Anolis sagrei: one gene and its partners. The protein of the gene in region 3 interacts with the protein of the main gene of each other region in a biochemical or structural test. Links are inferred from orthologs where the notes say so. Each region holds a gene or a part of one and is shown on either strand. Other genes may lie near its edges. The genes, in order: UBE2A, WAC, RNF40 and UBE2B.

Evidence for each region.
Region 1: the proteins of RNF40 (region 3) and UBE2A form a complex in vitro, tested with the Homo sapiens proteins (3 studies listed by BioGRID). The link is inferred for Anolis sagrei from reciprocal best matches to the Homo sapiens genes RNF40 and UBE2A.
Region 2: the proteins of RNF40 (region 3) and WAC form a complex in vitro, tested with the Homo sapiens proteins (2 studies listed by BioGRID). The link is inferred for Anolis sagrei from reciprocal best matches to the Homo sapiens genes RNF40 and WAC.
Region 4: the proteins of RNF40 (region 3) and UBE2B form a complex in vitro, tested with the Homo sapiens proteins (3 studies listed by BioGRID). The link is inferred for Anolis sagrei from reciprocal best matches to the Homo sapiens genes RNF40 and UBE2B.

What each region holds. Positions count from the first base shown.
Region 1 is NC_090030.1:3,051,284-3,059,009, forward strand, and holds the start of UBE2A (ubiquitin-conjugating enzyme E2 A), read left to right. Parts: upstream 1-4,632; 5' UTR 4,633-4,823; coding exon 4,824-4,867; intron 4,868-7,726. UniProt on the Homo sapiens protein: E2 ubiquitin-conjugating enzyme that accepts ubiquitin from the ubiquitin-activating enzyme E1 and transfers it to a E3 ubiquitin-protein ligase. In vitro catalyzes 'Lys-11', as well as 'Lys-48'-linked polyubiquitination.
Region 2 is NC_090026.1:110,877,568-110,884,980, reverse strand, and holds the start of WAC (WW domain-containing adapter protein with coiled-coil), read right to left. Parts: upstream 3,003-7,413; 5' UTR 2,690-3,002; coding exon 2,649-2,689; intron 2,516-2,648; coding exon 2,479-2,515; intron 1-2,478.
Region 3 is NC_090026.1:15,946,808-15,954,962, reverse strand, and holds the start of RNF40 (E3 ubiquitin-protein ligase BRE1B), read left to right. Parts: upstream 1-5,094; 5' UTR 5,095-5,243; intron 5,244-8,155. Other genes in the region: CFAP119 (cilia- and flagella-associated protein 119), read right to left, coding at 4,551-4,619.
Region 4 is NC_090022.1:91,998,724-92,006,517, forward strand, and holds the start of UBE2B (ubiquitin-conjugating enzyme E2 B), read right to left. Parts: upstream 3,170-7,794; 5' UTR 2,816-3,169; coding exon 2,772-2,815; intron 1-2,771. UniProt on the Homo sapiens protein: E2 ubiquitin-conjugating enzyme that accepts ubiquitin from the ubiquitin-activating enzyme E1 and transfers it to a E3 ubiquitin-protein ligase. In vitro catalyzes 'Lys-11'-, as well as 'Lys-48'- and 'Lys-63'-linked polyubiquitination.

The DNA of each region.
Region 1 (7,726 bases), on a different chromosome or scaffold from region 3:
GACTCACCTTGAAGGAGCTGGGGATGGTGACAGCCAACAGGGAGCTCTGGCGTGGGCTGGTCCATGAGGTCATGAAGAGTCGGAGACGACTGAACGAATGAACAACAACAACATCTATCTATCTATCTATCTATCTATCTATCTATCTATCTATCTATCTATCTATCTATCCATCCATCCATCCATCCATCTATCTATCTATCTCTTCTATATATAATATATATATAAATGCTCTGTGCATAATGAGTACCTTAAAAACAAAAGAACCAATGAACGAAATCACACTAAATTTGGCAACGAAACGTCTCACAATGGAAGGAGTGACCATCACTCAAAAAATTATGATTTTTCCTTTGGGAGTTGTAGTTGCTGGGATTTATAGTTCACCTTCAATCAAACAGCATTCTGAACAATGGAATTGAACCAAACTTGGCAGACAGAACTCCCATGACCAACACTAGTAGGGTTTAGTGGGCATTGACCTTGAGTTTGGGAGTTGTAGTTCACTTACATCCAGAGAGCACTGTGGACTCCAACAATGATGGATCTGGACCAACTTGGCACAAATATTCCATATGTCCAAATATGAACACTGGTGGAGTTTGGGGGAAATAGACCTTGGCATTTGGGAGTTGTAGTTACTGGGATTTATAGTTCACCTACAATCAGAGACCATTCTGAATAAACCCCACGAATGACAGAACTGGGGCAAACTTCCCACACAGAACCACCATAACCAACAGAAAATACTCAAGGCCACCCAGTCCAACTCCCTTCACCAGGGCAAGAAAACATCAGCAAAGCCCTCCTGACAGAGAGCTACTGAGCCATAGATAGAGATGGATATATATGATTCACACACACACAGATAAAGTATTATAGATTTGAAAGGGACTCCTAAAGAAGGACAATTCTATGTTGCATGTTCCAGAGTAAGCAAACCAGACAATCTCTACGTCAACACTGTCAAACATCAAGAAATACTATTTACCCACAAGCATAAAGACATTTCATAGATTAGAAACCAGCACTTTCTAATTACTTGATTTTCCATATCACCAGACTGGGACACAGCAACGCGTGGCAAGGGATCTCTAATTATTATTATACTAGCTGTCCCCTGCCATGCATTGCTGTGGCCCAGTCTGTTGATCTGGAAAATAAAGTAATGAGAAAGTGTTGGTTTCTAATATATGTAATGTCTTTCTGCTTGTGGGTAAACAGTATTTCTTGTTGTTTCTTTGTCAGTGTTGATGTGGAGATTGTCTGGTTTGCCTACTCTGGAACATGCAACATATCATAGTCCTTCTTTAGGGGTCCCTTTCAAATCTATGATACTATATCTGTGTGTGTGTGTGTGAGAATCATATCTATCTATCTATGGTTGGATGGCTCTTTGTCAGGAGGGCTCTGATTACGTTTTCTTGCCCTGGTGAAGGGAGTTGGACTGGATGGCCTTAAGTATTTTGCGTTGGTCATGGGGGTTCTGTGTGGGAAGTTTGCCCCATTTCTGTCGTTTGTGGGTTTCAGAATGGTCTTTAATTGTTGTGAACTATAAATCCCAGTAACTACAAATCCCAAACGTCAAGGTCTATTTCCTCCAAACTCCATCTGTGTTCATATCTGGGCATATGGAATATTTGTGTCAGGTTTGGTCCAGATCCATCATTGTTTGAGTCCACAGTGCTCTCTGGATGTAGGTGAACTACAACTCCCAAACTCAAGGTCAATGCCCACCAAACCCTTCCAATGTGTTCTGTTGGTCATGGAAGTCCTGTATGCCATGTTTGGTTCAATTCCATCATTGGTGGAGTTCAGAATGCTCTTTGATTGTAGGTAAACTATAAATCCCAGCACCACCAATTCCGAAATCTCAAAATCAATTTTTTTGAGTGCAGGACATACACTGGGTTGTTAGGTGTCTTGTGTCCAAATTTGGTGTCAATTCCCTCAGTGGTTTTTGAGTTCTGATGGTAGCACGAACGAACATTACATTTTTATTTATATAGATTATTATTTTAGAAGAGAAGCTACCCCTGACCTTTATTATTATTATTATTATTATTATTATTATTATTATTATATTTTGATTATATTTATTATTATTATTATTATTATTATTATTATTATTATTTGGTTCACTCCTGACACTATAAATAAATATTATTATTATTATTATTATTATTATCATCATCATCATCATCATAGAAAAAAAGATCCCGCTGAGCAACTATATTTATTATTATTTATTATTTATATTTATTTTAGAAGAGACGCTTCCTCTGCACTATTATATTTATTATTATTATATGTATTATTATTGTTTCAGAAGAGAAGTTTCCCCTGCACAATTATATTATATTTATATATTTAGGTTCTTGTAGGTTTTTTCGGGTTATAGGGCTATGTTCTAGAGGCATTTCTCCTGACGTTTCGCCTGCATCTATGGCAAGCATCCTCAGAGGTAGTGAGGTCTGTTGGAATTAGGACAATGGCTGGGGTGGGGCAAGGAGCTCTTCCCTGCTGGAGCTAGGTGTGAATGTTTCAACTGACCACCTTCATTAGCATTTGAAGGCCTGCCTGAGCCTGGGAAAATCTCTTGCTGGGAGGTGTTAAGATGTGCCTGGTTGTTTCCTCTCTGTTGTTTTGCTGTTGTGATTTTAGAGTTTTTTTAATACTGGTAGCCAGATTTTGTTCATTTTCATGGTCTCTTCCTTTCTGTTGAAATTGTCCACATGCTTCTTGTGGATTTCAATGGCTTCTCTGTGTAGTCTGACCTGGTGGTTGTGAGAGTGGTCCAGCATTTCTGTGTTCTCAAATAATAATCTGCTGTGTCCAGGTTGGTTCATCAGGTGCTCTGCTATGGCTGACTTCTCTGGTTGGAGTAGTCTGCAGTGCCTTTCATGTTCCTTGATTCGTGTTTGGACAACGCTGCATTTGGTGGTCCCTATGTAGACTTCTCCACAGCTGCATGGGATACGGTAGACTCCTGCAGAGGTGAGAGGATCCCTCTTGTCCTTTGCTGAACGGAGCATTGGTTGGATTTTCTTGGTGGGTCTGTAGATTGTTTGTATGTTGTGTTTCCTCATCAGCTTCCCTATGTGGTCAGTGGTTCCCTTGATGTCTGGCAAGAACACTTTTCCTCTGGGTGGGTCTTCGTCTTGACTCTCGTGGCTTCTTCTCGGTGGTCTTGCAGCTCTTCTGATGTCTGAGGTGGAGTCTCCATTGGCCTGGAGAGCCCAGTTGAGGGGGTTCAGTTCCTCTTGGAGGAGGTGGGGTTCACAGATTCTCTTTGCACGGTCTGCCAGAGCTTGAATGGTGCTTCTTTTTTGACTTGGGTGATGGTTGGAGTTTTTATGTAGATATCTATCTGTGTGTGTGGGTTTTCTGTAGACGGTGTGACCCAATTGTGGATCTGGTTTGCGGATGATGAGGACATCTAGAAAAGGCAGTCTTCCTTCATTTTCTTTTTCCATGGTGAACTGGATGTTTGGGTGGATGCTGTTGAGATGTTCCAGGAACCTGTTGAGTTCTTCTTCTCCATGGCTCCAAATGGTGAAGGTGTCATCCACATCTCTGAACCATATCGTGGGCTTTTTGGTTGCTATCTCCAGGGCTTGTTCTTCAAAGTGTTCCATAAATTTATATATTTATTATTATATATTTATTATAATTATTATTATTTTAAAAGAGAAGCTTCCCTGCACAATCATATTCTTCTTCTTCTTATTATTATTATTATTTCAGAAGAGAAGCTTCCCTGCACTATCATATTCATTATCATTATTATTTTAGAAGAGAAGCTACCCCTGCACTATATTATTATCACAATATTTTGATTATCATAGAAAAAGAGTTCCCCCCCCCGAGCAAATATATATATATATATATATATATAATATTTATTTTAGAAGAGAAGCTTCCTCTGCACTAATATATTTGCTATTATTATATGTATTATTATTATGTTTCCCCTGCACAATTATATTATATTTTTATATTTATATTTATTATTATTATTATTATTATTATTTTAGAATAGAGGCTTCCCTGCACTATCATATTAATTATCATTATTATTATTATTATTATTATTATTATTATTATTATTATTCTATTTATTATTATTAGCTCCCCCTGCAGTATTCTATGCCATGGCTATTATGGTTCCTTCCACCTATTTCCCCCCCTTTATTCACCGCTTGTTGGTATCGCTCAGAGAGGATGACGTCAGCGCTTTGAGAGCTCTCTTTCCAAGCCTGCGGAAGCCACGCCCCTTTGTGTCCTTCCCGCGATGTGATTCGCTGGCCGCTAGCCCCGCCTCTTCCCTGTGTATTATATTATTTTAGAAGAGAAGCCATCCCTGTACTATTATATTATATATTATATTTATTATATTTATTATAATAGTTATTATTGTTATTATTATTATAGAAGAGAAGCTTCCCCTGCGCCATTCTATGCCATGACTATTATGGTTCCTTCCCATTTCCCCCCCTTTATTCGCCCGCGCCTTGGTATCGCCCAGAGCGGATGACGTCACGGCTGCGAGCGCTGCCTTCCCAAGCCTGCGGAAGCCACGCCCCTTTGTGTCCTTTCCGAGATGTGATTCGCCGGCCCCTGGCCCCGCCCCTTGCCTGTTTATTGTCCCATTCCGTGCCCCCCTGTTTGGCGAGAGCAGTGGTGCGGTCCGGCGTGGAGGGAGCAGGCGCGGCGGGCGCGACCACTGCGGGATTAGGGGCGCCGGCCGCGTCGGGAGCGCCAGTGTCGAGGCGAGGAGCCGAGCGAGCGGAGTGCGAGCGACGCCTGGCCGAGAGCCCGCCATGTCCACGCCCGCCCGGAGGCGCCTCATGCGGGACTTCAAACGGTCAGCGCGGCCGGGCGGCGAGGGGATTGGGCCCGGGAAAGGGAGCGAGTCGGGCCGAGACGGAGAAGAAGGAGCCCTCAGGAGAGACAACATGGCGGCCGGGCGGGGGAGCGCTGCGCCAACTGCGTAGCCACCGCGCTCTTGGCGTAACGCGCGCCCGGCAACCAATGGGGAGCCCCGCACCACAGCGGCTTACGCACTTGGCGTAGCCTTTCCTTGCTAGGCCTTGCCACTCAGAGACTTCTTAGATGATTATCATTATCTCATTATTATTAGATTACTCAGCCTCTTATTGTTATATTATATTATTATTATCATCTTTATTTTATAATATTATCTTATAATTACTGTTATTATTGAGACTTATATAATATATCTCCTTGCTAGGCCTTGCCTTATATTATTATATCATTATTATTATATTACTCAGCGTCTTTTTATTGTTATATTATTATCAATCTATTATTATTATTAGGGTCTTATTTTATAATATTATCTTATTACTATATCATAATTATTATATTACTCAGCCTCTTATTATATTATATTATATTATTATTAATCTATTATTATTATTAGAGTCTTATTTTATAATATCATCTTATTATTATATCATTATATTACTCAGCCTCTTATTATGTTACATATTATCAATCTATTATTATTATTAGAGTCTTATTTTATAATATTATCTTATTACTATTATTATTGAGTCTTATATAATATGTCTCCTTGCTAGGCTTTGCCACTCAGAGACTTCTTATATTATTATTATTATTATTATTATTATATTATTAGAGTATTATTTAGAAGTCTCTTATAATATAAGAGACTTCTTACATTATTATATCATCATTATTATATTACTCAGTGTCTTCTTATTGTTATATTGTATTATTATTAATCTATCATTATTATGAGTCTTTATTTTATAATATTATCTTATCATTACTATTATTATTGAGTCTTATATAATATATCTCCTTGCTAGGCCTTGCCACTCAAGAGACTTCTTATATTATTATATCATTATTATTATTATATTACTCAGCGTCTTCTTATTGTTATATTTTATTATTAATCTATTATTATTATGAGTCTTTATTTTATGATATTATCTTATTATTATATCATTATTATATTACTCAGCCTCTTATTATTATATTATATTATTATCAATATATTATTATTAGAGTCTTATTTTATAATATCTTATTGCTATTATTATTGAGTCTTATATAAGGCCTTGCCACTCAGAGTCTTCTTATATTGTTATAATTATAATTGTTATTATATCATTATTATTATATTACTCAGCCTCTTCTTATTGTTATATTATATTATTATTAATCTATTATGAGTCTTTATTTTATAATATCTTCTTATTATTATATCATTATTATTACATTACTCAGCCTCTTATTATTATATTATATTATTATCAATATATTATTATTATTATTATTAGAGTCTTATTTTATAATGTTAACTTATTACTATTATTATTGAGTCTTATATAATATAACTCCTTGCTAGGCCTTGCCACTCAGAGACTTCTTATATTATTATTATTATTATTATTATTATTATTATATCATTATGATATTATTCAGCATTTTCTTATTGTTATATTATTAATAATCAGTTATTATTATGAGAGTCTTATTTTATAATACTATCTTATCATTTCTATTATTATTGAGTCTTATATATCTCCTTGCTAGGCCTTGCCACTCAGAGTCTTCTTATATTATTATTATTATATCATTATTATTATATTTCTCAACGTCTTATTGTTATATTATTATTAATCTGTTGTTATTATTATGAGAGTCTTATTTTATAATACTATCTTATCATTACTACTATTATTGAGTCTTATATAATATATCTCCTTGCTAGGCCTTGCCACTCAAGAGACTTCTTATATTATTATATCATTATTATTATTATATTACTCAGCGTCTTCTTATTGTTATATTTTATTATTAATCTATTATTATTATGAGTCTTTATTTTATGATATTATCTTATTATTATTATATCATTATTATATTACTCAGTCTCTTATTATTATATTATTATCAATATATTATTATTAGAGTCTTATTTTATAATATTATCTTATTGCTATTATTTTTGAGTCTTATATAAGGCCTTGCCACTCAGAGTCTTCTTATATTATTATAATTATAATTATATCATTATTATTATATTACTCAGCCTCTTCTTATTGTTATATTATATTATTATTAATCTATTATGAGTCTTTATTTTATAATATCTTCTTATTATTATATCATTATTATTACATTACTCAGCCTCTTATTATTATATTATATTATTATCAATATATTATTATTATTATTATTAGAGTCTTATTTTATAATGTTAACTTATTACTATTATTATTGAGTCTTATATAATATAACTCCTTGCTAGGCCTTGCCACTCAGAGACTTCTTATATTATTATTATTATTATTATTATTATTATATCATTATGATATTATTCAGCATTTTCTTATTGTTATATTATTAATAATCAGTTATTATTATGAGAGTCTTATTTTATAATACTATCTTATCATTTCTATTATTATTGAGTCTTATATATCTCCTTGCTAGGCCTTGCCACTCAGAGTCTTCTTATATTATTATTATTATATCATTATTATTATATTTCTCAACGTCTTATTGTTATATTATTATTAATCTGTTGTTATTATTATGAGAGTCTTATTTTATAATACTATCTTATCATTACTACTATTATTGAGTCTTATATAATATATCTCCTTGCTAGGCCTTGCCACTCAGAGTCTTCTTATATTATTATTATTATATCATTATTATTATA
Region 2 (7,413 bases), about 95 Mb from region 3:
GCAAGTACACTACAGAATTAATGCAGTTTAACTGCCATGGCTAAATGCTATGGAACCCTGGGTTCTGGAATTTGGCGAGGCACAAGAACTCTTTATTGTGCTGGTGACAGAACAAACTACAACTCCCAGAAGTCTGCAGCATTGAACCAGGGCAGTTAAAGTGGCGTCAAACCACATTCATTCTATAGTACAGGTACACTGCTTGATGAGGGATGCTCAAGCTGTATTTTTTAAATGGGTACCACAATGTATTCCTAATTTAAAACCGCCTCACTGACAGGACTCCATCTACACTGCCTTATAAGGTGATTTGAGACAGCATCATATGGCCAGTGTAGACCATAAAACGGGGATGCTTTGAATGAGATTTTCCTGCTACTTGGGAGGGTTGGACTGGATGGCCCACAAGGTCTCTTCCAACTCTATAGTTCTATGATTGTAGACCAGGCATGGACAAACTTCAGCCCTCTAGGTGATTTGGACTTCAACTCCCACACTTCCTAACAGCCTACCGGCTGTCAGGAATAATGGAAGTTACTGGCTGTCAGAAATTATGGAAGTTGAAGCCCAAAACACCTGGAGGGCTGAAGTTTACCCATGCCTGATATAGACTTATATAAATTATCACATTACACTGTTGAAGCACTGTTGTTCCACTTTAAATCCTATGACAGCCCCCTGTGGAATTCTGGCCTTTGTACGTAATGAGGCCCAGGACACATCCAGTTTGGAATTTTGAAGACCCCTCCCTAAAGTGCACATCCCAGGAATCCAGAGGCGGCAGGCATGGGATTTAAAGTGGAATAACAGCACTCTTAACAGTGTAGTGCAGGCATGTGCAAACTTTGGCCTGGCAGGTGTTTTGGACTTCAACTCCCATAATTTCTAAGAGGGCCAAAGTTTGCACATGCCTGTTGTAGTGAGCTCAGCTGCACTGAATGAATGTACCCTGACCATATGATACAGTCTGAAACTGCATGAGAAGCTGCAGTGTAGTTGGGGGCCAGGAAAGGGCGGTGGCAAGGGACAACAACAGTTCTCTTGGATAGAACTTACCCTTTATTAAATTTGAGGAGAGGGTTAGAAATAAATAAGGGGGGGGGCAGTTTTAATTTCTAGCCCAGGCATAGGCAATCTTTGGCCCTCCAGGTGTTTTGGACTTCTACTCCCATCATTCCTAACAGCCACAGGCCCTCCTTTCCCCCCTCAGCCACTTAAGTGGCCGAGGGAGGAAAGGAAGGGGCCCGAAGTTATAAGGAGCTATGAGAGTGTAAATCCAAAAGACATGGAGGGCCCAAGTGTGCCCATGTCTGATGTAGGCACACCGTTGAATATATACCGTTGGACACTACTTGAACTGCCATGGCTGTTAGGAGTGGTGGGATCTGCAGTCCAAAACACCTGGAGGGCCAAAGTTTGCCCATTTCATTGAATTTATGCTGTTGGACACCACTTGAACTGTCATGGCTGTTAGGAATGGTGGGATCCGCAGTCCAAAAGACCCGGAAGGCCGAAGTTTGCCCATGTCATTGAATTTATGCAGTCGGACACCACTTTAACTGCCATGGCTGCTAGGAATGGTGGGATCTGCAGTCCAAAACACCAGGAGGGCTGAAATTTGCCCGTGTCACTGAATTTATGCAGTCGGCCACCACTTGAACTGCCATGGCTGTTAGGAGTGGTGGGATCTGCAGTCCAAAACACCAGGAGGGCCGAAGTTTGCCTGTGTCATTGAATTTATGCAGTCGGACACCACTTGAACTGCCATGGCTGTTAGGAATGGTGGGAGCTGCAGTACAAAACACCAGGAGGGCCAAAGTTTGCCTGTGTCATTGAATTTATGCAGTTGGACACCAATGGCTGTTAGAAATGGTGGGAGCTGCAGTTCAAAACACCTGGAGGGCCAAAGTTTGCCCATGTCACTGAATTTATGCAGTCGGCCACCACTTTAACTGCCATGGCTGTTAGGAAGGGTGCGATCTGCAGCCCAAAACACCAAGAGGGCTGAAGTTTGCCCATGATATTGAATTTATGCACCACTTGGAACTGCCATGGCTGTTAGGAATGCCTGTTCTAAGCTATTGCCTCACACTGCTGTGTTAATTTAAAGGGGGGGGGGGAACGCCCCCTCCTCCCCAAAAAGAAAAAAAGACCTATCTACGGGTCATTCCAGACGGACCCTCTATCTCAGGATCTGATCCCAGGTGGTCTGCTTGAAACTGGGTTATAGGAGCCCACAGTGCAAGATAGTCCGGGATAAACAGAAACGACCTGGGCTCAGATCCGGGGCGCTAGGCCTCTCTCGCTCCCCCCCTTCCCGTTGGAGGCCGCCCCTTCCTCCCTCCCTCCCCTTGTTCGCGCGGCCCAGGAAGCAGGCCGAGGCCCTTTGCGGCCTAGAGCGGCGGGCCAAGCCTGCGCTGGAGTAGCTGCGGCCGGCCCTCCTCCCACACTCCGCTGCGGCGGCGGCGAAGGAGGTACCTGGTAGGGCTGCGAGTCCCCCTTGCGGTCGTGACAGCTGAAGGGAGAGAAAAAAGAGAAACAGTGGCGTTAGCGAGAGAGTGGCCGTTACTGGCGGTTGGGAGAGAGGGAGGGGAGGAAGGGGGAGGGAAGGGGGGGGCGAGGAAGATGGAGGACGGGGGCTTATTTACCCATCATTGAGTCTTTGCTGTTTCCTCGCATACATTACCATCAATGCCCGGCCTGTGAGAGAGAGACTGAGGGGACCAGGAGGAGGAGGAGGAGGAGGGCGCGGCTGGGCCACGGACGGGGAAGGAAGGAAGGAGGAAGGGGAGGGAGGAGGAGGAGGAGGAGGAGAGAGGCCCAGCGGCGCTCACGGGCCCATCGCCTCGCCGCCCAACGGAACGCAACGCGGAAACGCAACGCAGAAGGAAGGAAGGCGAAGGCGGCGACGACGACGACGACGTCTCCCCCCTCCCGCCGCCGCCACCACCGTCTCCTCCCCCCTCCTCCTTCCTTCCTCCTCCTCCTCCTCCCTCTCCCTCAGTCACTGCTCCCAACACTACCGCCGTCCAACTACATCCGGGAAACTCAAGCGACGACGCCTTCGCCAAACGTCGGCTCCGCTCGGCTCTTTCCGCCCAAGCTCCTCCCTCTCCTCCGCCTGCCTTCCTCTTTTCGCGGCTTCGCACTTCGGGTATCCTCGGCCGCTTCCGGACACCAGCCGATCCCTCCCCCTTCGGGTTTGAAGAAGACACGCCTTCTACTCATCTTCGGTATTTTCCGGACCAAGCCCTGCTTTTCGGGCGACGTCGGCTCTCTCCGCTCCTGCCTTCTTCGCCGGGGAAAGGCATCGGGTGTTTCCGGAAAGAGCCGAGAGACGGGCGAAGACTACTACTACTACTACTACTACCAATAATAATAATAATAAACTTTATTTATACCCCGTTACCATCTCCCCATGGGACTCGGTGCAGCTTACATGAGGCCGAGCCCACAATACAACAATACAAGCAAAACAAGCAATAACAAATACAATACAAAGCAATTAAATGGTGATTATGATAATAAAAACAATCGGCGCTGACAAAATTACCCTCTGTCTTGTTTACTGTGTACTAATCTTGTTGTGTATCTAATAATAATAATATTAATAATAATAATAATAATAGCATATAATAATAATAATAATAATAATAAGTGGTCCCAGTGGTGATCAGCACACTGGGTGCAGTGCCTAAAGACCTTGGCCTGCACTTAATAATAATAATAATTATTATTATTTATTTATTTATTTATTTATTTATTTGTATCCCGCTTTTCTCCTGTGGGTAGGATTCAAATCGGTGTGTTGTTGTTGTTCATTCGTTCAGTCGTCTCCGACTCTTTGTGACCTCATGGACCAGCCCACGCCAGAGCTCCCTGTCGGCCGTCACCACCCCCAGCTCCTTCAAGGTCAGTCCAGTCACTTCAAGGATGCCATCCATCCATCTTGCCCTTGGTCGGCCCCTCTTCCTTTTGCCTTCCACTTTCTCCAGCATCATTGTCTTCTCTAGGTTTTGCTGTCTCCTCATGATGTGGCCAAAGTACTTCAACTTTGTCTCTAGTGTCCTTCCCTCCAGTGAGCAGTCGGGCTTTATTTCCTGGAGGATGGACTGGTTGGATCTTCTCGCAGTCCAAGGCACTCTCAGCACTTTCCTCCAGCACCACAGCTCAGAAGCATCTATCTTCCTTCGCTCAGCCTTCCCTAAGGTCCAGCTCTCATATCCGTAGGTTACTACAGGGAATACCATGGCTTTGACTAGGCGGATCTTTGTTGTCAGTCTGATGTCTCTACTCTTCACTATTTTATCGAGACTGGACATTGCTCTCCTCCCAAGAAGTAAGCGTCTTCTGATTTCCTGGCCACAGTCTGCATCTGCAGTAATCTTTGCGCCTAGAAATACAAAGTCTGTCACGGCCTCCACATTTTCTCCCTCTATTTCCCACTTGTCAATCATTCTTGTTGCCATAATCTTGGTTTTTTTTTTTTTTTGATGTTTTGATGTCAAATCGGTGTACAAGGGTTAAAAATGACAAAACTGCATATCATAAAAATACCAAAAAAAATCATATAAGCAAAACAAACACATTAGGTTAGCCAAATTAAACAAATTAATAAATTAAAACATTAAACCATTAAAAAAATCCCTGACCCTCAGACAATTAAGGTTATCAATTAAAAGAGTTATTCTATACATAAATAAATAAATAGTATCAATGTTAGGAACTGTGGGGGTTGAATTCCAAAACACCCAGAGGGTCCAAGATTGCCCATGTCTAATAGATATGATCACAAAATAATAATAATAATAATAATAATAATAATAATAATCTTTATATCATGCTCCCTCTCCAAAAGGACTCGGGACGGCTTACAACAAAATTAAATCATAACATATACATGAGCAAAAGCAAAAAGACAGGACATCACATATAACCAGCAATCACAAGCAGGTTAAATTAACATAACAGTATCACAATAAATACACAGCTTAAAAATTTGCACTTGGTTTAAAAACATAATCGCATCTTGGAGGCAAAACCAGTTAAAACCAATAGGTATTTGACAGAACTAAAAGACCACCATAATATTAAGTAGTCATCATCCGTTTTCGAAAGCTTGCTTCCACATCCAGGTTTTTAGTTCTTTTCTAAACGGAGCTAGAGGGGGAGCCTGTCTGATTTCTTTAGGGAGAGCATTCCAAATATATGATAGTAATAAATGGTTATAATACAGTAATTATTTCTTTATCGTGTCCAAAGCAAATTGAGGATACAGTTATAATGCATAAAAAACCACAGTTATAGAAGGCTTTCATGGCCGGAATCTCTGGGTTGCTGTGAGTTTTCCGGGCTGTATGGCCATGTTCCAGAAGCATTCTCTCCTGACATTTTGCCCACATCTATGGCAGGCATCCTCAGACCTCACAACCTCTGAGGATGCCTGCCATAGATGTGAGTGAAATGTCAGGACATAATGCTTCTGGAACATGGCCATACAGCCCAGAAAACTATTACATTTGGCCTTGCCATAGGTTTTTAAATGCTTGCGTGTTACTGTTTATTGTTTATTTTTTATTTATGCGATTTATATTAATTGTATTGTATTGATTTTTTGTTATTGCTTTTGTTTATTGATGTACTGTGGGCTTGGCCTCATGTATGCCGCACCAAGTCCCTTGGGGAGATGGTAGTGGGGTATAAATAAAGTTTTATTATTATTATCATTATTATTATTATTATTATTATTATTATTCTGGAACATGGCCATACAGCCTGGAAAACTCACAGCAACCCAGAGATTCCGGCCATGAAAGCCTTTGATAACTCCGTGGTTTTAATACATTATAAAAAATACATTGAATTTGCTTTGACCACATCAGTTGCTTCTGATGTAACTGTAAAAAAAGTCCTCCATTTTGCTTGTGGCAGAGCTCATACTGCACTGTGTCAGTTATCTGAGGTTTGCTCTTTTCCACACTCGCATGTTGTGGTCTCCACTTTGTAGTCCTTTCATTGCAATACAATAATAACAGTCAGTAGTAATATATTATGATGATGACGACGACGATATATAATTATAATTATATAATTGTATTAAAATAACAAATGGTTATTGAGCCACCTCTGGCTGAGAAAGGCGGTATACAAATGCAGTAAATAAATAATATAATATAATAAATATCATAGCAATAATATGATAATATATGATATTTTACAAAAATGAAAAAACCCTTTCCTGCATGGTTAGTACCTTGTGCTTGGGCCACAATTCTAGGCATCCATGCAAATACACATTATTATTATTATTATTATTATTATTATTTATGGAGCCTCTGATGGTGCAGTGGGTTAAAACCTTGTGCCGGCAGGACTGAAACCGACAGGTTGCAGGTTCGAATCGGAGGAGAGCGTGGATGAGCTCCCTCTATCAGCTCCAGCTCCACATGCAGGGATATGAGAGAAGCCTCCCACAAGGATGATAAACCATAAAAACATCTGGGTGTCCCCTGGGCAACGTCCTTGCAGACAGCCAATTCTTGCAGTTTCTCAAGTCGCTCCTGACACTACAAAAAATTAAATAAATAATTAGGTTCTTGTAGGTTTTTTCGGGCTATATGGCCATGTTCTAGTGGCATTTCTCCTGACGTTTCGCCTGCATCTATGGCAAGCATCCTCAGAGGTGAGGTCACCTCTGAGGATGCTTGCCATAGATGCAGGCGAAACGTCAGGAGAAATGCCTCTAGAACATGGCCATATAGCCCGAAAAAACCTACAAAACCTAGTGATTCCAGCCATGAAAGCCTTCGACAAATAACTAATTATTTATTTTATTTTTGCAATTATTATTATTCATATTTGCAGAAATGCAACCACCAAACAAGGAAAGTGGTGTCAAAAGTGCATTGTTGAGGTTCCATTGCACTATCTGCCAATGGAGGCTAAATACCTTGCAAAACTACAGCTCCCGAATTCCATAGCACTGAATCATTAAAGTTGAAGTGGTGCATGTCAAACTGCAATTAATTCTACAGTGCAGATCAGGCATGGGCAAACTTGGGTCCTCCAGGTGTTCTGGACAACAACTCCCACGATTATGGGAGTTGCAGTCCAAAATACCTGGAGAGCCGAAGTTTGCCTATGCCTGGCATAACTGCTCCCCTGGTCCCAGGCGTTGCATTGCATTGGGCTTCAGAAGGGTTTAAGGAGGGAGAGAGGGCAATGGCCGCTGAGGCTTCAGAGCTCTTACTGCGCAGGCGCGGGCGGCGTCCTATCCTGCACTTTCTACCTCTGAGCCTTGCGCAGGCGCAGAAACCCGTCCCTGGATTCCGGCTTCTAAGCCAAGGATGGCAACAGCAACGCTATTCTGGGAGGAAGGAGGTCGGTGGGCCCGGGTCGAACAGCTGCCCGCCT
Region 3 (8,155 bases):
CCCACCAAACGCGCCTGCGACGCAGGTGGGATCGTGAGCAGGGCCTCTCCGGATGAACGGAGGGAACGCGTGGGTTCATAAATGGAGATGTGGTCACGCAGGTAGGCAGGTCCCAAACCGTTTAGGGCTTTGTAGGTAAGCACCTGCACCTTGAATTGGGTTCTGTAGGTAAACGGCAGCCAATGGAGCTCCTTAAACAGGAGGGTTGACCTCTCTCTGTAAGGAGCGCCAGTTAACATCCTGGCCGCCGCTCGCTGGACCAGCTGGAATTTCCGAGCTGTTTTCAAGGACAGCCCCACGTAGAGAGCATTACAGTAATCCAATCTAGAGGTGACCAAAGCATGGACCACCCCGGCCAGATCAACCTTTGCAAGGTACGGTCGCAGCTGGCGCACAAGTCTTAGTTATGCAAAAGCCCTCCCGGACACCGCCGAGACCTGGGGTTCCAGGCTCAGCGATGAATCCAGGATCACTCCCAAGCTGCGAACCTGCATCTTCAGGGGGAGTGTAACCCCGTATAACACAGGCTCTAACCCTATGCCCTGTTCGGCCTTACGACTGACCAGTAGGACCTCTGTCTTGTCTGGATTCAATTTCAATTTGTTAGCTCTCATCCACTCTGACACAGCAGCTAAACACCGATTCAAGGTCTGGACAGCCTCCTTGGTAACAGATGAGAAGGAGTGACAGATTTGGACATCATCTGCGTAGAGATAACATCTCATTCCGAAACTCCGAATGATCTCCCCCAGCGGCTTCATGTAGATGTTAAATAACATCGGGGACAAGATTGAACCCTGTGGGACTCCATACAACAACGGTTGTGGGGCCGAACAGGTGTCACCCAGTAACACCTACTGGGACAGTCCCTCAAGGAAGGATCGGAGCTACTGCAAAGCAGTGCCCCTGAACCCCATATCCATGAGGCGTCCCAGAAGGATACCGTGATCAACGGTATCGAAGGCCGCTGAGAGGTCCAGCAAAACCAACAGGGACACACTCCCCCTGTCCATTTCCCAGCAAAGATAATCTACCAAGGCGACCAAGGCTGTCTCAGTTCCATGTCCCGGCCTAAAGCCAGACTGTGCCGGATCTAGATAATCCGTGTCTAACCAGAAACCCCTGGAGTTGTGTCGCTACCACACATTCCATGACTTTGCCCAAATAGGGGAGATTGGAAACTGGCCAATAGTTGTCGAATTGAGTGGGATCCAGTGATGGTTTCTTCAACAGCAGTTTTGTAATAGCTTGTTTTAAGTTCGCTGGAAACTTTCCTTCCTGTTAGGAGGCGTTAACCACCACTTTTACCCACTGTGCCAAACCCCCTCTGGCTTCCTTTATCAGCCAGGATGGGCAGGGGTCTAGGATGCATGTGGTAGGTCGCACCTCTCCGAGGATCCTGTCCACATCCTCAAGCTGAACCAATTGAAAAGAATCCAACAAAACTGGACAAGCAGATGCTCGCGTTACATCCCCAGGTAAAGGTAGTCCCCTGACATTAAGTCCAGTCATGTCTGACTCTGGGGTGTGGTGCTCATCTCCATTTCTAAGCCGAAGAGCCAGCGTTGTCCATAGACACCTCCAAGGTCATGTGGCCAGTATGACTGCATGGAACGCTGTTACCTTCCCACCAGAGCGGTACCTATTAATCTACTCACATTTGCATGTTTTCGAACTGCTAGGTTGGCAGAAGCTAGGGCTGACAGCGGAAGCTCACGCCACTCCCCGGAATCGAACCTGCGACCTTTCGATCAACAAGCTCAGTTCGATCAACAACTCACTGCGCCACCGGGGGCTCCCCAGAGAGTGCCGTTAATACGTCGTCAAAACCCGACCGAATCCGCACAATTTTATCCGCGAAGAATCGAGCAATTGCTTCACAGCGAGCCACCGAGTTATCAGGGGCCTCGCTTTTCAGCGGATTTAACAGTCCCCTGACAACTCGGAAAAGCTCGGCTGGACGATTCTTCGCAGACTCAATATTTATTTATTTATTTATTTATTTCATTTACTTATACCCCGCCCTTCTCACCCCGGGGGGGACTCAGGGCGGCTTACATAGGAGGCACAATTAGATGCCTAAATCTATAGACAAACAATATAAAATACAAAACAATTCAACAGTTAAATTAAAACATCAGTGCACAATAAATATTAAAAACAATCTCATGCTCGGGTTCAGAGTCCATATGTCCATTCCGTTCCATTTGTCCTTGTCTATCGTTAGATCCTTCATTTAGTTGCCAGTGTGTCCAAAGGCTTGATCCCAAACCCAGGTCTTCAGTTTTTTCCGGAATGCCAGAAGGGAGGTCGCCGATCTAATCTCCCCGGGGAGTGAGTTCCACAGGTGGGGGGCCACCACCGAGAAGGCCCTGCTCCTCGTCCCCGCCAACCTCACCTGTGAGAGTGGCGGGGTCGAGAGCAGGGCCTCCCCAGAAGATCTTAAGCTTTGAGGTGGGATGTAGAGGGAGATCCGTTCGGACAAATACACTGGGCCGGAACCGTATAGGGTTTTGTAGGTCAAAACCAGCACTTTGAATTGTGCTCGGAATTGGATCGGCAGCCAGTGGAGTTGGCGCAACAGGGGGGTGGAATGCTCCCTGTACGCTGCTCCGGTGAGCAATCTGGCTGCTTCCCGCTGGACTAGTTGAAGTTTCCGAGCAGTCTTCAAAGGCAACCCCACGTAGAATGCGTTGCAGTAATCCAACCGGGATGTGACAAGAGCGTGGACCACCGTGGCCAGATCACTTCCCAAGGTACGGGCGCAGCTGGCGCACAAGTTTTAATTGTGCGAAAGCTCTCCCGGCCACCGCTGAGACCTGGGGTTCCAGGCTCAGCGATGAGTCCAGGATCACTCCCAAACTGCGAACCTGCATCTTCAGGGGGAGTGTAACCCCATCTAACACAGGCTGTAACCCTATACCCTGTTCGGCCTTGCGACTGACCAGTAGGACCTCTGTCTTGTCTGGATTCAATTTCAATTTGTTAGCTCTCATCCAGTCCAATACAGCAGCTAAACACCAGTTCAAGGTCTGGACAGCCTCCTTGGTGACAGGTGGGAAGGAGTGACAGATTTGGACATCATCTGCATAGAGATAACATCTTAGCCCGAAACTCCGAATGATCTCTCCCAGCGGCTTCATGTAGATGTTAAATAACATCGGGGACAGAATTGAACCCTGTGGGACTCCACACAACAACGGTTGCGGAGCCGAATATTGGCTGCCAGAAATGTGCGTAGAGATAACACCTCAGTCCCTTCTTTCAACCATTCATTTATTTCTCTTTTTTCCATTTATGATGGCACACCAGGAAGATCTAATGAGAAAACTAAATGTGTCTGGCTATTTTCCCAGTGACCATCTGTATGCCCTAAATTACTTTAATTCCCCCAAAAATAACACTCTACATACAAGACTAAATTAACCAAATTGAGTTTACTAAACAAACAAGATGAATTACAACAATGTACAAAGGTACAGATTGATTATGATGGTATAACTCTGAGGTAACAAAGTATAATTTCTATGAGGTAAGTATTCTATAAACTATAAACTCTAAGGCATGTATTAGCTAAGAATTCTATGAAGCATATATTATCTAGGTTCTTGTGGGTTTTTTCGGGCTATAGAGCCATGTTCTAGAGGCATTTCTCCTGACGTTTCGCCTGCATCTATGGCAAGCATCCTCAGAGGTAGTGAGGTCTGTTGGAATTAGGACAATGGGTTTATATATCTGTGGAATGGCTGGGGTGGGGCAAAGAACTCTTGTCTGCTGGAGCTAGGTGTGAATTTTATTTATTTATTTATTTATTTATTTATTTATTTGCTATATTTGTATACCGCCGTTTCTCAGCCTAGCCGGCGACTCAACGCGGTTTATTATTATTATTATTATTACAACATAATGTTTCAGCTGATCACCTTCATTAGCATTTGAAGGCCTCAGGCAGATTTTCCCAGGCTCAGGCAGGCCTTCAAATACTAATGAAGGTGATCAGCTGAAACATTCACACCTAGCTCCACCAGAGAAGAGCTCTTTGCCCCACCCCAGCCATTCCACAGATATATAAACCCATTGTCCTAATTCCAACAGACCTCACTACCTCTGAGGATGCTTGCCATAGATGCAGGCGAAACGTCAGGAGAAATGCCTCTAGAACATGGCTCTATAGCCCGAAAAAACCCACAAGAACCTAGTGATTCCAGCCATGAAAGCCTTCGACAATACATATATTATCTATTCTTTATAACATCTATTATAAACTCTAAGGCAAATATGTGATAAGGATGGCCTGTACGGACTGCAAGCCAGACCAGACACTTTTCTGGCAACTATCTATAAATTATGACCAAAAGGAAAGAAGCCAAAAAGTCTTTCACCAGGCTCTGAGGCAGAATGGGCTGAGCCAAAGAGCTCGGCCTATAGGGGGAGCCTAAACTCCTACTCTAAACTTGGCAAAATGGAACAGTCCAACAGGCAACAAGGAAATAATACTAGGCCGAGACATCACACCATTCATTTTAGTATTGCTCCCCCTCCTCTGGTACCTTATTAAGGGATTCTGGCCCCATTAAAGGCCTTTGAGGTGGAGGACTGAAGGAGTCCTCCGTTGCCATGGCATTCTGGGCTCCGTCCAATTAGAAGAAAGAATGTTGAGCCAGGTCAGGAGCGAGCCAATCAGTGCCGTCCTCTTTCAAAGTGGAAGGAGCCTTTCCTATGAAGGATACTGGAAAGGTAGTGCTCTCTATAAGCGGCAAAGAAAGATAACTCCCTCTTCTAAACCATTGTTATGCCTCCAGAGCCAGGATAGGATCATTGTTACCACTCCAGAGCCAAGTTGGCATCCTTCTGAGGAAATGTTTACATTTGACTTCCTTTTTCCCTGTCTCTATGGGAGGAGTTTTACCTTGGAGCCACGCCTCTTCTTCTAGGAGCATCCGTCCAATCACAGGTAATCTCTTTCCCAGTTGAACCAATCGTGTGTCAGCTTTCATTCCACCCTCCCACTTACGTATGCACACAACCCGCCCTTCCAGGTGTCCTTTCGACCAATAGGAAAGCACGTCGCATTCCGAGTCGAAGAGTCTGCTCGCGCATGCGCCACCCAGAACAGGAAGGGGAGATTCGCTTGAGTCTGGCCGAAAGATGCCTCCTCGGGCGCATGCGCAGTGGCTGCGGCGGGGCTTCTAGTCCGAAGCGTCGTATGGAGGGGAAGGCAGAGAGGCGGCGGCGATGGCGGGGTGAGCCTGCAGGTCTCCTTCCTCCCCTTCCCTATCGGGCCTTCTCTATCTCTTCTTCTCTAAACACCCATTTTTGTGGCACTGTCTCTTTAAAAAGTACCTGAGAGCCATGCTAATAGGATCATTCTTCTTATTCTCACTCAAAATACATCTTATTTATATTACTATCAATAATAATACTTAAAACACATTGAAATCATTTGTGCCAACAAAATGTCAGTTTAAATTCACAGGTTCAAATAGACTGAGGGGCCCACCCATAAAATATATTACTATAACAACAATAACAACAATTATCATTGTTATAATTATTATTGTTGTGTTGTCAAAGGCTTCCATGGCTGGAATCACTGGTTTATTGTGAATTTTCCGGGCTGTATGGGCATCTTCCAGAAGCACTCTCTCCTGAAGTTTTGCCCACATCTATGATCTAATAGAGGGAGAAAACGTGGAGGCCGTGACAGACTTTGTATTTCTAGGTGCAAAGATTACTGTAGATGCAGACTGTGGCCAGGAAAGACGCTTACTTCTTGGGAGGAGAGCAATGTCCAGTCTCGATAAAATCGTAAAGAGTAGAGACATCAGACTGGCAACAAAGATCCGCCTAGTCAAAGCCATGGTATTCCCTGTAGTAACCTACGGATGTGAGAGCTGGACCTTAGGGAAGGCTGAGCGAAGGAAGAGAGATGCTTTTGAGCTGTGGTGTTGGAGGAAAGTGCTGAGAGTGCCTTGGACTGCGAGAAGATGCAGCCAGTCCATCCTCCAGGAAATTGGAGGGAAGGATACTAGAGACAAAGTTGAAGTACTTTGGCCACATCATGAGGAGACAGCAAAGCCTAGAGAAGACAATGATGCTGGGGAAAGTGGAAGGGAAAAGGAAGAGGGGCCGACCAAGGACAAGATGGATGGATGGCATCCTTGAAGTGACTGAACTGACCTTGAAGGAGCTGGGGGTGGTGACGGCCGACAGGGAGCTCTGGCGTGGACTGGTCCATGAGGTCACGAAGAGTCGGAGACGACTGAACGAATGAACAACAACATGGCAGGTTGTGAGGTCATTGGAAATTAGGCAGGTGGGGTTTATATATCTGTGGAATAAGGTCCAGGGTAGAAGAAAGAAAGAACTCTTGTGCTTGCAATTGGCCACCTTGATTAGTACTGAATGGTTTTGCAGGTTCAAAGTCTCTGGCTGCTTCCTGCCTGGGGGAAGTGTTGCTAGAAAGTGTTAGCTGGCCTTGGTTGTTTCATGTCTGGAATTCTCCTGACAGTAAAAAGAGCAACTTTCAAAAAATGGGGGAATTCCAGACAGGAATAAATTAGGACCAACTAACACCTCCTAACAATTCCTCTAAGCCAGTGGTTCTCAACCTGGGGTCCCTAGATGTTTTTGGCCTACAACTCCCAGAAATCCTAGCAGCTGGTAAACTAGCTAGGATTTCTGGGAGTTGTAGGCCAAAAACATCTGGGGACCCCAGGTTGAGAACCACTGCTCTAAGCAGGAAGCAGCCAGTCTTTGAAGCTGCAAGGCCCTTCGGTGCTAATCCGAGTGGCCAATTACAACTGCCTCCAACAGACAAGAGTTCTTTCTCCCACCCTGGACGTTCCCCAGATATATAAACCTCACTTGCCTAGTTTCCAAAAGACTCCTCAGCCTCTGAGGATGCTTGCCATAGATGTGGGTGAAAAGTCAGAAGACAATGTATTCTTGAAGGCTTTCATGGCTGGAATCACTGGGTTGTTGTAGGGTTTTTTTGGGCTATATGGCCATGTTCTAGAGGCATTCTCTCCTGACGTTTTGCCTGCATCTATGGCAAGCATCCTCAGAGGTTGTGAGGTCTCACAACCTCTGAGGATGCCTGCCATAGATGCCGGCAAAACGTCAGGAGAAAACGCCTCTAGAACAGTGGTTCTCAACCAGGGGTCCCCATGTTTTTGGCCTACAACTCCCAGAAATCCCAGTCAGTTTCCCAGCTGTTAGCATTTCTGGGAGTTGAAGGCCAAAAACATCTGGGGACCCCAGGTTGAGAACCACTGCTCTAGAACATGGCCATACAGCCCCAAAAAACCTACAACTCAGAAGACAATGTTTCCTGAACATGGTTATGCAGCCTGGAAAACTCACAGCAACCCATAATAATAATAATAATAATAATAATAATAATAATAATAATAATAATAATAATTTGCTTTATTTCTGTACTTAAGGCAACATGCAACACAGTTAAAATACACAGATGAAAAAAACAACCATTTAAACATATAGATTAAAAACATTTAAATCACTTGTATCAACAAAAGATACCCTGACGACTTCCGGTGGTGGCAAGATGGCGGGAGAAGCAAGTTCCTGACGCTCGTCAGCTCTTGCAACTTGTTGAATGCCTCAGGGGGGCTAGTCCCCCCCTGCCTCGTGGAAATAATGGGGCAGTAGGACCCTTAGACCAAGAAGCTCCAAAGGAGACCCCCAAACTTGGCAAAGGGGTGAGGTCCAACACAGGTTCCCGGGTAGAATCCGGGCTAGGACGCCAGCCACCATCTTCAAAACAACACAACTGAAAGAACGAAGAACGAAAAGGTGAGCAAGACAGAGAGACAGAAGGGAAACAGAGGGGGAAACAAGAAGGCCAGGTGCCAAATTTGGGGCCGTGGTTGACAACAACTAAGATAACTTTAAACCGTAAAGAACATAACATAAACACTACTGAACTTTTAACTCAAGAACTCCGGAGACAAGAAACTTGAGATTTTCCTGAACTCACCCCCTTCCCATTGTTACCTCACCCGCTCCTTGTTTCTTGCTCCTTCTCTTCGCTCCTTGTGTTTCCATACGCTCCCCAACCCTCCGTTTTGGAGGTAGAGATGGCGCGCGCGGGGGCGAAGCGAGAGTGAAGCCGTTGCACGCGCGAGGGTGA
Region 4 (7,794 bases), on a different chromosome or scaffold from region 3:
TAGAGATAGTTTTAGATCTTAAAGCTTCAGGAACATCATGCTGTGAAAAGCCTTTGGCTGTAAAGAGTTTGCTGCCCAAATTGGGCTTTCACACACAATGAAAGTTCACTTGAGATCACAGAAACTATAGGGACCTTATCCTACCATACCAGCCTAGATGAAATAACTTGACCAAAATGTTCTTTCTCCTGTTAATTCAAGATGTTTGGAACAAATAATAGTACTTAAAAGAGTCATAGGGCATGTTTCAATTATCCCAGAGCTTTGACTTGAGAACTTTCTCCCTCTTTTTTTGGTCACTCTGCCAAATCCAGCTATCTAGAAAATAGTTTAGAACAGTGGTTCTGAACCTGTGGGTCCCCAGGTGTTTTATCTACAACTCCCAGAAATCCCAGCCAGTTTACCATCTGTTAGGATTTTTGGGAGTTCAAGGCCAAAGGTTATAACTGTAACTCCTGAGCTTTCTAGATATACTCAAATAGCTATTAAAAGCAGTTAGGTAATATTAATTCAGCATGGATAATAAATGTGATAGAATAACCAATACCCGAAATAAGCCCCAGGGCCCTTCCATACAGCCCTATATCCCAGAATATCAAGGCAGAAATTCCTACATTATCTGCTTTGAACTGAATTATCTAAGTCCACACTCAGAAAATGTGGGATATTCTACCTTGATATTCTGGGATATAGGGCTGTGTGGAAGGACCCTCAGTGTTCTCAAGAAAAAACCATGTTTGGGATTAGAATAATGCTGCATACTGTCACTGTGCTCTGTTAACAACACAACTCATACTGTTGTGTTGGCATAACCCCATTTAATGTACTGGGAGTGAGGCAAGCATCCGCTGCCCTATGCTGACTCAGCAGCCACTGCATGATCCCAATCTGAAATATTTGCCCATTCATAAAGGCAGTCTTGCCAATTCCAGCCTAAAACAAAGACTGGCATCCTGCAGCCGAACTTGCTGACTAGTCAGTTTAAATTACAAGGAGACAGTTACACCATTAATGTGGCGATCTAAATCTTTTTACGTGTCCAGGTTATAAATTGTGATTTTGGAGGAACTGTAACATGTTTCGCTGCGGAATCCATCTGCAGTGCCAGGAAAGTCCTTTTGGAGAGCTTGCTTTTCCTGGCAGCTTACTTGAGAAACAGAAAATGGCCATTATTTTTGCTAACTTCAGCATATCCTCTCCAGATGTCAGTGAGAACTAAGAAGCAGAGAAGGACAGGACTTCCAACTATAGGAAGCAGCCTAAAAGAAACATAGGACACAACTCTCCACATACAACAGGGAAAATCAACAGGCTTCCTTGTGAAGAGCACATTTTTCTACATGCCATGAAATGGCAGTTTCAGCATAACCAGTTTTCCCCCAACACTACAAGCTGGCTATACAGCAAAACTCCCTATTCTTTTCTCTGCCATCTTCCAAACCACTTTCTGAAGAGTTTCAATTTCCAAAATGTAACTATTATACTAATTCTGTATAAGCTTAAAGGGATATAATGCAGCAAGACTGAAATACACTGAAACTCTACTCTGGAGCACATATGTGGGGATTAAAAGATTCAGGATGAGAAGAAGAGGAGGCGGCAGCAGCAGTGACTGGACTGGAAGAAGTTTTATTTACAGCTCCGGGGTTGGCTCAGTGGGTAACCTGAGTCTCTTACAATAGCTCCTTTTATTTTTGAAGCACTGCATTGGCAAAATGCTCAGAGATCTGTTGACTGAGAGCATCGCAAGCGAAACTCTGGTAAACTGTACAGTCTGTATTCTGAGCAGATTAAAACCCCTTCCTTTATTATAGATGCAATTATTTCCATGAAGGGGACTGTACCTTTAATGTAACAACTTCAGCATGGGATGGCGAAGAGGGCAAGTGTTGCTTCCAGTCTCCCAAGACGGCAAAGGGTATTTATTAAAGGTTTGGCCTCGACTGAGGCAGGATGCCCCAACATGGTATAAACAAACCAGCTCCTTCCACCAGATCAGTATTTCTGCCAAGGCCAACCCACTCCATTTCCACTCAGTTTTGATCTAAAGCAGGTGTGGGCAAACTTGGGCCTTCCTCCAGGGGTTTTAGACTTCAACTCCCACAATTCCTAACAGTTGGTAGACTGTTAGGAATTGTGGGAGTTGAAGTCCAAAACAAATGGAGGAAGGCCCAAGTTTGCCCACACCTGTTCTAAAGGCATTCCTTGCCCAAGGCCCAGAGGGAGAAGCCAATGGTTTGAGCCATTGCCCCAAAAGTACAGACAATTCCTTCTCTTTCTTTATTTTTTTGGGGGGTGGGGGTGGGGGCATCCTTTACACCTTCTGTCTCTAGCTCAGGCATGGGCAAACTTGGGCCTTCCTCCAGGTGTTTTGGACTTCAACTCCCACAATTCCTAACAGCCTAGCGGCTGTTAGGAATTGTAGGAGTTGAAGTCCAAAACACCTGGAGGAAGGCCCAAGTTGGCCCATGCCTGCTCTAGCTGAACCCTTCTCCTTCTTCCAAATGTATCCTGATGCCTACTTCCATAACAGGAGAGGAAAAGGAAGGAAAGAGGGGAACTTCTCAATCTTTTTGCCCTCTCACCAGCTTGGGGGCAAAATCCAGACGGCCCCCTTCTTCCTAGACACGAAAGGAAAGAGGGGGGAGCAGGGGAGCCAGGACCCCCAGGGAGGCGCGGGCCCTTTAAGGAAAGGAGGGCCAGCCCCAGAACAGGCCCAAAGCAGAGGGGACGAAGGAAGGTGGGCAGGGGGAGAGCAGGGCCGCACTTGCCTCTTGAAGTCCCGCATGAGCCTCCGCCTGGCCGGAGTGGACATGGTCTCCCCTTTTCCCGGTGGTAAAATAATCCCCGCTCGGCCTCAAACAGCCTCGGCACCAAGGGCGGCTCACTCCTCGTCCGCTGCCGCCGCCTCCTCCTGCTCCGCTGCTTCACAAACAACTCCGCAATGGCGTCTCCCTCCGCCAGCGGGAGGGAGGGAGGGAGGGAGGAAGGCAGCCTCCCTTCGGGACCGTACCACTGCGCCTACTTGGAGGGGGGAGGGCAGGGAGCCTTAGGAACGTACCACTGCGGAAGCGGAGGGCAGGGCGGCGGAAGGCGCTTTCCCTCTCCTCCCAGGAACTTCGCTTCGACATTCCCATGCGTTCAGGGAAGGAGAGGCAGCGACATCATGTCTTTTCCCATAGAGTTGGAAGAGACCACAAGGGCCATCCGGTCCAACCCCCTCATTCCATTCCAATGTAACAACAACAACAACTCCTCCGCCCTGCTGGTGGAAAGAGTTGCTTTGGTTGGCCTTTGAAATCTTTATTACCCTTTAAGGCAGAGTTTCACACAATCCTTAAACAATTAAAAAAATGTCTTGTCTTACCATCATCTGAATGGGATGGGCAAAATCTAGATGGATTTCATGGCAGGTGTGTTGAATGATTTGCAGTACATCAGCAAATTATTATTATTATTATTATTATTATTATTATTATTATTATAAACACAAAAACAATGGCTTCAAACTACAAGAGAGGAGATTCCATCTGAACACGAGGAAGAACTTCCTGACCGTGAGAGCCGTTCAGCAGTAGAACTCTCTGCCCCGGAGTGTGGCGGCGGCTCCTTCTTTGGAAGCTTTTAAACAGAGGCTGGATGGCCATCTGTCATAGAATCAAAGCGTTGGAAGAGACCTCAGGGCCATCCAGTCCAACCCCCTACCAAGAAACAGGAATATTGCATTCAAATCACCCCTGACAGATGGCCATCCAGCCTCTGTTTAAAAGCTTCCAAAGAAGGAGCCTCCACCACACTCCGGGGCAGAGGGTTCCACTGCTGAACGGCTCTCACAGTCAGGAAGTTCTTCCTCATGTTCAGATGGAATTTCCTCTCTTGTAGTTTGAAGCCATTGTTTCGCATCCTAGTCTCCAGGGAAGCGGAAAACAAGCTTTCTCCCTCCTCCCTGTGGCTTCCTCTCACATATATATACATGGCTATCATATCTCCTCTCAGCCTTCTCAGTCAGGGGTGATTTGAATGCAATATTCCTGCTTCTTGGCAGGGGGTTGGACTGGACGGCCCATGAGGTCTCTTCCAACTCTTTGAGTCTATGATTCTATAGTACACACCAAACAAGGTCACTCTGCTGGCTACTGTATTGGATCACACGTCAGACACTTCCCAAGTGTCTAGGACTGTGTGATGTGTCTGCAAATAATGCATGCAGATCCAAGTAGGGTGGTCTTCTGCAGCTGACTGATGGTGATTTTGTCAGTGCCTATTGCTTTTAAGTCGAGGCCATGGTCTTTAAGCACTGCACTCAGTATGCTGATCGATTATTATTATTATTATTATTATTATTATTATTAGAAACACAACAAGATGAGTCCACAGCAAGCAAGATCACTCTGCTGGCTGTTGTAATCGATCACATGGACACTTCCCAAAGTGTCTAGGACTGTGTGATGTATCGGCAAATAATGCATGCAGATCCTAGTACGGTGGCCTTTTGCAGCTGAAAGATTGTGATTTTGTCAGTGCCTATTGTGTTTAAGTGGAGACCAAGGTCTTTAGGCACTGTACCCAGTGAGCCAATCACCACTGGGACCATCTTTACTGGTTTGTGCCAGAGTCTTTGCAGTTTGATCTTTAAATCCTCGTATTGTATCAGCTTTTTTAGTTGTTTCTCTTCAATCCTGCTGTCACCTGGGATTGCAAGCTCTAGAATCCATACTTTGTTTTTTAACACGATCGTGAGGTCAGGCATATTGTGCTCCAAAACTCTGTCAGTCTGAGTTCGGAAGTCCCAAAGTAGCTTGACGTGTTCATTTTCTGTGCTGGTCATAGTGTAAACTACCAGTAGGTTCAACCAAGCCAGAGTGGGCTCAACTGAGAAGTAGAACTAAGTGCATCCAACCCATTTAAATATGGTAAAACAAACTCTAAAGAAATTTAGACTGGCTTGGTCGCTGCCCAGGATAATAAGGGCCGCGGCGAGTGCTTCTCCTGGGCACCCGTTGACAAGTGGGCTACAGAAACCAGGACCTGCTGAGCAACCAGGGCATGGGCCTGTAGTTGGAAGCAAAACAACCACAGAAGTACTATTATTGTTATTATTATTATTATTATTATTATTATTATTATTATTTTGGTACTCTGATTCAGACAGCAAAATGTCTTTGGCCAGGCCTCAGAAAGTTCAGCATGAATCTGCATCCTGTTGCAAGTAACTTGATGTTATAAGCAAGGTCTTCGAATCAATTTAAAGGTGCAATCGTTTTATTCTTATCTGCCTTTTGTTCAAAACTAGATCTAATGATAATTTACATACAAAAAGAAGTACAAGTACATCAGTCAATTATATTTCAATAGATTTTTTTAGTGCCAGAACAATTAACTGTATACATCATCATAATAAAATACAATTCCAAAACTGATGGTGTTTATGTAATAGACCACATGTTTAAATTGGGAACACTTTACTTTAAATATATATTTGCAAACAAGCCAAGACTAATATTAAAGATCAGAAAATTGCATTGGATAGACCATATCAGCTCTAATTTCTGATATAGAACATATGCCATGGTCAAAGACAGGGAAGGAATGTGAAAGGAGCAGAAATAAAATAAATAATAAATAAATGAAGAGGAAGAAGGCATGCAAACCAGATTTTTGACCTTGCGGCCCACTGGTGGTCCACAGCCCACAAGTTAAGAACCACTGGTCTATATCAAGGAAAGAAATGGTGCCTCTCTATTCTGCTCTGGTCAGATTCAGCTGGGATACTGTGCCCAATTCTGGGCACCACAATTCAAGAGGGATATTGACAATCTGGAACATGTCCAGAAGAGGGTGACTAAAATTATCAAAAATGTGGAGACCATGCCCTATAAGGAGCAACTTAAAGAGCTGGGCATGTTTAGCCTGCAGAGGAGAAAGTTGAAAAAAGACATGATCGCCATGTATAAATATGTGAAAGGATGTCATAAGGAAGAGAGAACAGGCTTATTTTCTTCTGCCCTGGAGACTAGGACTCGGAGCAATGAGTTCAAATTACAGGAAAGGAGATTCCACCTGAACATTAGGAAGAACTTCCTGACCAACAGTTGAACTCCCAGTCTTGGAGTGTGGTGGAAGCTTTTAAATAGAGGCTGGATGGCTATCTGTTGGGGTGCTCTGATTGTGCTTTTTCTGTATTATGGAGGTTGTATTAGATGGCCCATGTAATCTCTTCCAATTCGATGATTCTACTATAATGTTTTCCAAATTTTTGTGTGTCAGAAGTGACTGAAAATCGCTTCTGGTGTGAGAGAATTGGCCATCTGTGGGAGGCTTCTCATATGTCCCCGCATGGGAAACTGGAGCTGACAGATGAGAGCTCACTCCATCTCACAGATTTGAACCGTTAACCTTCAGGTCAGCAATTCAGCTAGCGCAAGGGTTTAACCTATTGTGCCACCATAGCTCCTTATCTTTTCCAGTGAGTCATATTGTCTCATGATGCATCCAAAATAAAACAACCACAGCTTGGTAATTTTAGTTGTCAGTGAAAGTTTAGGTTTGATTTGTTCTAGGGCTTTTTTAAACGATTTCCCTAGACCTTTTCTCCAGGACTGTATTTAAAATGAATTCACCATATTATCTTCCTTTGCTATCTAACTTTCTGAATCATACATAGAAACTGAAAATACTATGGTTTGAGTGATATATACTGATGGGATCATGAGCTGTCAGCAACTGACTCAGAAAAGGATCTTCCCTTATGGTACAAAGTTCAACAAAATCAGACTGTGGCTGCTATAAAAAAGCTAAAGTCCACATTGGCCATAATTAAAAGGGAAACTGGAAATAAAATTGTCAGTATAATACTGTACATTTGGCTCTCCATATCCATGGATTCAACTATCCATGGCTAGAAAATATTAAAAATTAATTCCAAAAGACAAAATCTTGGTTTTACCATTTATATAAGGAATGCTTTTCTACTATAACATTGTGTATAATGGAACTTGCACATCCATGGATTTTGGTATCAATGTGTGTGTGTCCTGGAACCAACTCTGAGGGCTATTGTAGGAGAAGGAGAGGAGGCAGAGGAGGAGGTTGTGGTGGAGGAAGAATTTTTGTTACCCGCCTCTCCTCTCAAGGTGGGATCCAACACAGTGAAAACACCTCAACATAGAATACATACACCAAAACACATGGTACAAAATACAGTGGTAATAGAACGTGAATCCAAAACTCATGGTTCAAAGCTGACTGGGTAGACCTGCAGGAAGAGATAGGTCTTTAATTGTCTCTTAAATTCCGAAAGCTCATTTAGCTGTCTGATCTCTTCCACTGGTCATTCCACAGTCTTAGGATAACTGATGAAAAGATCTTCTGGGCGACGATCACCAGTCGGATTCTGGCTGGTTGGAGCAGATGCCCCTCAAAAGTGTTCGGGGCGGATTGTATGGGAGAAGACAATCCTATAGGTAACCTAGACCCAAACCATGTAGGGCTTTAAAGGTCAAAACCAATACCTTGTGTTTTGCCAAGTAACTAATTGGCAGCCAGTGGAGTGACTTTAGGATAGGTGTGAGATCTTCACTCCTGGATGTTTCCGTAACCAATTTGGATGCCAAATTTTAAACTAGCTGGAGTTTCCGAATTTGGTACAAAGGTAGCCCAGTGTACAGTGCATTGCAGAAATCCAACCTTGAGGTTACCAGCATGTGCACTACTACCATCTTTAGGTCCTCTGATTCTAGGAAAGGATGCCACAGGCATATCAGCTGAAGCCGGTAGTAAGCACACTTCTGGATA